Bombyx mori: one gene and its partner. Each later gene encodes a partner of the first gene's protein in a complex. Links are inferred from orthologs where the notes say so. Each region holds a gene or a part of one and is shown in the gene's direction. Other genes may lie near its edges.

Region 1 (3,323 bases):
GTAACTATACTGAGACCTTAGAACTGATATCTCAAGGTGGGTGGCGCATTTACGTTGTAGATGTCTATGGGCTCCAGTAATTGCTTAACACCAGGTGGCATGTGAGCTCGTCCACCTATATAAGCAATAAATAAATCGTCTTTATATAAAGATTTATTGCTAAAGGCAGAACAGAATTGGCTTGAGCAGCGGAAACACACATCGTCTGTAGTATTTCTTTTATAAAATAAACTCAGTGTCAGTCAGTTTCCTTTTTTAAAAACAGCTCCTGGATCAACAGGAGCACGGCGCCCGGGACTCAAGTGAGCTGTCTGCAGGCCCCAACATAATGGCTCGGCCCACATATGTACATGTCTCGTCCAGACCTATATAGGCCATTTTTTTTTTTATTGCTTAGATGGGTGGACGAGCTTACAGCCCACCTGGTGTTAAGCGGTTATTGGAGCCCATAGACATCTACGACGTAAATGCGCCACCCACCTTGAGATATAAGTTCTAAGGTCTCAGTATAGTTACAACGGCTGTCCTACCCTTCAAACCGAAACGCATTACTGCTTCACGGCAGAAATAGGCAGGGCGGTGGTACCTACCCGTGCGGACTCACAAGAGGTCCTACCACCAGTAAATAACTATCACAATTTTTTTCTTATTGTGGTAATATTCTTACGACTCATTTAGTGTTTAGTGGTTACTAGAGCATATAGATATAAAAAGAAATATTGTTCTCCGATGAGTCACTTAGTCGCTTTTCACGCCCTCCACAGGAATAAGTGGTGAGGTGATGTTTGAAGTCGGACACCGCACAGCTAATTCCTACTAACTGCTGCTTTTATTTACTGACCCTTGCTTACCATGAGTAGTGCACCCCGTGCGTGGTGACCTTGTCTGTGGTCTGAGCTCGATTATCTGTTGGACCTTACTGCAAGCCGCCCGCCACTGGCTCCGTTTGTGACTAAAATCTTAGCTTCAATCTAATTGAATATGCAATTTTGAAAAGGGCACATGTCGTATATTTTGTCAAATATGTTTTTTTATATACATGTAGTTTTGAGGCTTACCTACCTAGATCCATTTTATAATAATTCCAATAATTATCAATTGCTAATTATCACTAAAATATATCTCAAAAGCTAATATTTTAAATTTTACACTGCTTTAGAAAATAATCAGTTTTTTTCTTTTATGAACATTTTACATCTTCAGAGATGTGCCCTTTTCGAAATTGCATATTCAATTAGTGTGAAATATTTGATTTATTTTTTAAAGTAATAGAGCTCCAGTGTGAATAGTGTAGGACAGTCGTGTTATTGTACTGGGCTGGTGTGTGCAGGCCCGGCCGCGCGTGTGGGCGGCGGGATCTGCCGCGTGCCACTGGGCGCCGCGGGAGGGGCGGCGGCGGGGCGGGCTGCACGACCACGCCGTGACGTCAGGGCGCCGCGCCGGGGACAACATGCTGGCCGACATGCTGGGCACCGCGCCCGCGCCCTACACGCACCCGCACATGTTCTGGACCGACCTCGGGCCCGACCTCGGATACGAGGCGAGTGTACAATCTTGTGACATCTATGAGTACCCGTAGTCACTTAGTGCCAAGTGATTTTAGATCTTATATCTATATATATAAAAATGAATTGCTGTTCGTTAGTCTCGCTAAAACTCGAGAACGGCTGGACCGATTTGGTTAATTTTGGTCTTGAATTATTCGTGGAAGTCCAGAGAAGGTTTAAAAGGTAGATAAATTAATGAAAATGCTCGGAATAAAAATAAAAATAACAATTTTGTTTTTTCTTTTATTTATCGATTGAGGCACTACGAAGTGCACCGGGTCAGCTAGTAAATAAATAAAATTACTTAAGTAAGCTTGTCTTGAAAGTTGGTTAGCGCTAATCAGATATTTGTCACTCCGGTCACACTGACCGCACCGGGGCGCGGGTGACCGTACCACACGTTGTAAGTAACTACATTTTATGAATGGATGTTTTATGAATTATGTTTAAATATTCAGGCCATCGGCACCATCGACTCAAAACTAAAGACCGTCGGAGTGTTCTCTGAGGACGCCGTCACGGAGCTCCGGGCCCACGCCGCCGCCGCCGGGGAGGGGGACGCGGGGGGGCCGGGGGAGGGCGCGGCCGGGGCGGCGGTGAGGCTGGAGGGGGGCGCGGCGGGGGGCCGGCGGTACGAGCGCGGCGTGGTGTTCTACCTGGAGGGCCGGCGCGTGGTGGGCGTGCTGCTGTGGAACCTCTTCAACCGGATGCACGTGGCCAGGCAGGTGAGTCCCAAGGGATCCAACACTACACACTGCTGACGATGGTTTTTTGAATGCCTAAGTGGGTGGACGAGCTCACGGCCCACCGTTAAGTGGTTACTGGAGCCCATAGACATCTACAACGTAAATACTACCTTGAGACATGAGTTCTAAGGTAGATTTTAACACTATAGCGGCTGCCCCGCTCTTCAAACCGAAACGCATTACTGCTTCACGGCAGAAATAGGCAGGGCGGTGGTACCTACCCGCGCGGACTCACAAGAGGTCCCACCACCAGTAATTACGCAAATTATACTTTTGCGGGTTTGATTGTAGTATCTTATCTTTAACTTGTGACCGCTCGCGAGTCTGCAGCTGCTAGCTAACCCACTGCCCCCCAACCCCCCGCCCCCAGGTGCTGGCGCAGGCGGAGTTCGAGGACCTGTTCGAGGTGGCCAAGCTGTTCGCGCTCCACGAAGACGAATAGGCGCTGCATTTAGTTCTTGTTGTATATATTTATGTTAAAATAGATTATTAAAGATACCGATGAAGTTTCGACTGTTTTATTTTATCTTACTAGTGGAGTGAGGCGTGCGAGCGCTGCCGTCTTGTCTATTGTGTATATGGAAAACGAGCTCACGGCTCGTCTGGTGCTAGGCGGTCACCCCGTAGACGCCACAACGTAGCGACCCACTTTGACACATGACGTATTGTCACTTGTCAAAATGCCGAATCACTCTGTTTCTTTGTTACCACCTTATCCCACTAGGTTTTCTATTCCATTCTCTTCTATCAGCAATCCCAACACTCACTCCTCTCTGTCTCATATCCATGTGTTTTTCGGTCGACCTCTTCCCCCTCTACCTTGCACTACCATTTCCATACCTCTCCTAGTCACATGCATCGTCTCTCTACGCATCGCATGTCTGCTCTTTAATTTATCAATCACTTCAGCTACTTTCACACTTCCTCTGATATATATAAAATGCCGAATTACAACAAAATAAATATATTTATAAAAAATGTTAGTATCTATATTTCGTCAGTGGTCATCGGACGTTTTCAAGTCGTTGGT
Region 2 (4,415 bases), on another chromosome or scaffold:
TGGGTTCAAAAATCATATTGCCCTCTAACGGTTCCAATATTCAACATTACCGCATTGTTTCATAACATGTTGCATGTGTTGACAACGATGACTCATAGATGGCGCTAGCTGTATGCCAAAAAGGTTGTGTAAAGTAAAACTGGGGTCGTTTTTGTTAAATTTATAGTGAACTCAGTCTAAAACGGGACAGCCTTTAATGGAATTACATAACTCAAAAAAGTATTGTTGTTATTTTAAAATATCGGTCAAAACAAAAAGTGGGTTCTTCACGTATCTTGTAAAAGATGTAGAAGAAATCTAAGCTCCTGGGCTTCAGGTGGAAACAGGTCTTCGAATTTTAATATGGCAATGAAATGGAGGAAATTAACTATCCAATCCACTGGTTTATGATCCAATCCGAAAATGACAGCTACTTCTGTTTTACAAACACATTTGGTTTTAATCACAACAACAAAGCTAAAATTATAAATACGAATATTTCCTTCGGTTACTAAGCCATATTTTTATCGCTGGGTAATCCGTTTGCGAATTCCCGGTTGAAGGGGGTAACAGACCGGGTTATGTCGCACTCCGGCGTCTCCAAATAAGAAGAGTTAAAAGAGGAAAGCTGAAGTCCTCCTCCTCCTCCAATTCCTCTCAGGAGACTAAGCCTTGAAAAAAGCTATGACTACCGACTAAATCCCATCGAGCTACACCACACCAGCTAGAAGAAGCATAGTGCGCGGCGAAAGTCCGCCTTCGCCGGTATCCGACAGCCCCTATCCTGATGATAGGACGGGATTTCAACCCCGGGAAAATCCTGAAGGACGTCGGATCTCAGGAGACACATCGTGGGCAGTGCACAAGAGCCACCTTGCACTGCCTCACCACCGGACTAACCGTTGAGTACCGCCGGACACCTCCGCACCCGGCACTCGACAGCCCCTACGGGGCCGAGCAGGGGCCTCGCGCCCGCGTTTCCCTCCCCGCTTATACGCTGAGGAGCCGTAGAGGGACCCTTTCGCGCTCCTCCGCCTCATGGAACGCTATGACCAGGTAGGAAAACCTGGCCATGGCCTCCCACGAACTCTGTTCCTCTAACATCTGAGGAATTGTTTGAGATAATACCATCATCTCGTTTTTACCATCGGACCGCCCGCCACCGGAGTAGAGTTCATCCATACTACCTGGAGCCACTGCGTTCATCCACAGTGCACTTCCAGAGATCTTTTTTGCCACGTACCATCCGGCTTTGGAATGAGGTCCGCTCCACGGTGTTTCCCGAGCGCTATGACACATCCTTCTTCACACAAGGCTTGTGGAGAGTATTTAACGGTAGACAGCGAGTTGGCTCTGCTCCTGGCATTGCTAAAGTCCATGGGCGACGGTAACCACTTACCATCAGGTGGGCCGTATGCTCGTCTGCCTATAAGGGTAATAAAAAAAAACCTCGATATCTGATTTCTAAGTCCCAGTTTTACAGAACGGCTGCCCCATCCTTTAAGCCCAAACGTATTATTAGTACGGTGTAGTGTGCAACTCGCCTAACCTTATATTTGTAACTGCACACACTAAATTGTGACAGAATTACATGAATTGTCGACTTGAACAGTTCTATTTTATTTCACCTACAACACTCCAATACAACGGTAACGGCAGTAATGTACCTAGATACTACCTAGTGGTACCTAAGTACCTATCTGTGTGGATTCACAAGACGCCCTATCACCAGCAAAAATGTTAGCACAACAACAGTTCTTTTTAGTCCTTATCATAGACAATGTGAGTAAATTCTTTGTCGAACTTATTAAAAAAAAGGCTAATAACCTATAAAAATAAATAATGTCAACTGTCACTTCAACGTTCAGATATAAATCAACATTTTAGAAATGAAATAGGGATACATAACATTGTGATCAGTTTTATTTCAATAAAAAAATTCAGGGCGTCTCTGAATTTAGTGTAAAGCGAATGTTGCCTCAATTCTTTTACCTCCAAGTTGAGTAAGTGGCAATCACGATTTATCCATCAGTTAGTACACAACTAAAGAATCAGAATCTTGAATAAAAAAATTATAGTTTAAAAAACCTAACAAAATACGCTTTTAAAGAAAATCCAACAAAAAAATAGAAAATAAATTTTAATAAATTTTAATTTAAAATAGTGTAAGAAAAAATGATATTATTGTAAAAAAAAAAAGCGTGGGTTGCTTTTCAGGATATTATCAAAATAACCCTTCTACTCATATATGTTCATAAAATATTTATAACTACTGATACCATGCACCCCACAATTTTTTTACACTATTTCAAATTCAAATTTATTTAAATTTATTTTCTATTTTTTAGTTGGATTTTCTATAAAAGCATATTTTGTTAGTTTTTTTAAACTATTATTTATTGTTCATTTTTTAGTTAAATTTGATTTTTTTCAATATTTTTTTAATATTGAATTGTCATCAGTCCTTAATAAGTATACCAAAATTTGAGTTAATCTGTCTTAATTAATGTTAATCTTTCTGTTCTGTCTCCCCAGTATTACTTTAAGTACAATGCCGATTAAAGTACATCTACTGCACTGCTCAACACTACATCAATTTTAATGATATTTGCTGTATTTATAGGTTTGCCATTGACCAAGGTGGCTTAACACGAGACTGTATTGAACAAATGTTAATTTGTTGCAATAGTAGTTTTTTGAATTTTTGTATATCAAATTTTGATATGAGGGGTAAATTGTATAAGTTAGCAACACTATAAAATAAAATATATCTGTTAGTTATTTAGACTAGTCAACTAGAAATAATTTTAGTTACTTGTAGGTGTAACAGTGCACAGAGTGAATTATCACTACGGCGTTTGGTAGAAGAAGCGTGCAAGACATTGTTTGGTGAAGTGGGGGGCTCGATACCTGTGGATGTGCTATCAGTGCAAGACAAGACAGCTGTATTGCGAGTAAATAGCACGGAGTTCAGGAAAGTCTGGGCTGCTCTTACAGTAACTACCCAGTTACGAGTGCATAAGGTGTCTCCTTCACTACAGGCACTTGTATAGGCAGTGAGTGTCACAGTTAAATACATAATCTTACATAAGTCACAATCTTGATTTCATATTGTAGGGATTTAACAAATTATTTATTTGCTAGAATTTAGGATGATATTTAAAAAGCATACTTTATGCCCTTAAATTCATTCTTCATATTCAAGATATGAAAATATTTTTATATATTACATGCTCATTGAGTGCCTTGTATTGTTCAACACCCAAAGAAATGAATAAACTTTGAACTACACTCAAATTATCACTTGTGCCAAATGTGCATCCTTGTTACCTGGCTGCTTAACAACGATAGTGTTTTTTCAAGAAAAAAACTGACAGCATAAAACTGCCAAACAGAGAGGTAATAATGGGTATAGATAAACATTGAATAATAATAGAAGCACAGCGAAACTTCAAAGCTTTCAAAGTTTCAAAGAAAAGAAACTATGGAACTTGGAAAATAGGAAAAGAAATTAAACAAGCAATAATCAAATGACATCAGAAAAACAATAGAAAGTCTCTGGCAGTTTTTTTTATTGCTTAGATGGGTGGACGAGCTCACAGCCCACCTGGCGTTAAGTGGTTACTGGAGCCCATAGACATCTACAACGTAAATGCGCCACCCATCTTGAGATATAAGTTCTAAGGTCTCAAGTATAGTTACAACGGCTGCCCTACCCTTCAAGCCGAAACGCATTACTGCTTCACGGCAGAAATAGGCAGGGTGGTGGTACCTACCGGCGCAGACTCACAAGCGGTCCTATCACCAGTAATTACGCAAATTATAATGTTGCAGGTTTGATTTTTATTACACGATGTTATTCCTTCACCCTGGAAGCCAGTCATGAACATTTGTATAAAGCCTGTGTCATTTCATAGAAAGGCAAATAAACTCACAGTCAACCTGGTTTGAACACATCTTTAGGGATGAGGTGTAAATCTCAATTTTAGGGTATAATGGCTGTTCCACCCTTTAAACTAGAATGCTCCTTTTGTGGCACAATTAAGTAGCAAATTGTATATCAGGCAGTACAAATGTATTTAAAGTGGATGCAATATGCTGTAATAAGTATCATAATAACCTGTGTATTGATTTTTTTTTTAAGATACAACATGTCGTCTCCATCAATTCTACCTGCTGGGTCAGGCAACAAAGATATAGTGATTGTAGCATCACGCGAAGAGTTGTCTACACCAAGTAGAGTATCACTCCCGGACCCTGAACCGACACCTGGCCTCATTCTGGCAGATGGTTCCATCAATTGGGGATGTCCATGTCTTGGGGGTATGGCCACTGGTCCTTGTGGGATACAGTTCCGTGAGGCATTTTCCTGCTTTCATTACAGGTTCGTATTTCAATTCTTTGATCAATATATTTCAGCTCACTATCTTTTCCAA

What was found.
Region 2: the proteins of apoptosis-inducing factor 1, mitochondrial (region 1) and mitochondrial intermembrane space import and assembly protein 40 are in contact, whole or in part, in a cryo-EM structure (PDB 9GQZ), measured with the Homo sapiens proteins. The link is inferred for Bombyx mori from reciprocal best matches to the Homo sapiens genes AIFM1 and CHCHD4. Residues at the interface, in NP_004199.1 of Homo sapiens: Pro345, Tyr347, Ser500, Ser501, Leu502, Pro503, Thr504, Val505, Gly506, Val507, Phe508, Ala509, Lys510, Glu558, Asp559, Tyr560, Asn602, Ala605, Lys606, Phe608, Asn609, Ile610, His611; in NP_001091972.1 of Homo sapiens: Arg5, Glu7, Lys9, Asp10, Arg11, Ile12, Ile13, Phe14, Val15, Thr16, Lys17, His20, Thr22, Pro23.

Annotation. Positions count from the first base shown.
Region 1 is NC_085120.1:1,544,305-1,547,627, reverse strand, and holds the end of apoptosis-inducing factor 1, mitochondrial, read left to right. Parts: intron 1-1,330; coding exon 1,331-1,540; intron 1,541-2,005; coding exon 2,006-2,272; intron 2,273-2,663; coding exon 2,664-2,735; 3' UTR 2,736-2,801; downstream 2,802-3,323. UniProt on the Homo sapiens protein: Functions both as NADH oxidoreductase and as regulator of apoptosis.
Region 2 is NC_085131.1:14,550,495-14,554,909, forward strand, and holds the start of mitochondrial intermembrane space import and assembly protein 40, read left to right. Parts: upstream 1-1,564; 5' UTR 1,565-1,761; exon of another isoform or gene 1,762-2,010; intron 2,011-2,602; exon of another isoform or gene 2,603-2,650; intron 2,651-2,790; exon of another isoform or gene 2,791-2,800; 5' UTR 2,801-3,035; intron 3,036-4,123; 5' UTR 4,124-4,130; coding exon 4,131-4,363; intron 4,364-4,415.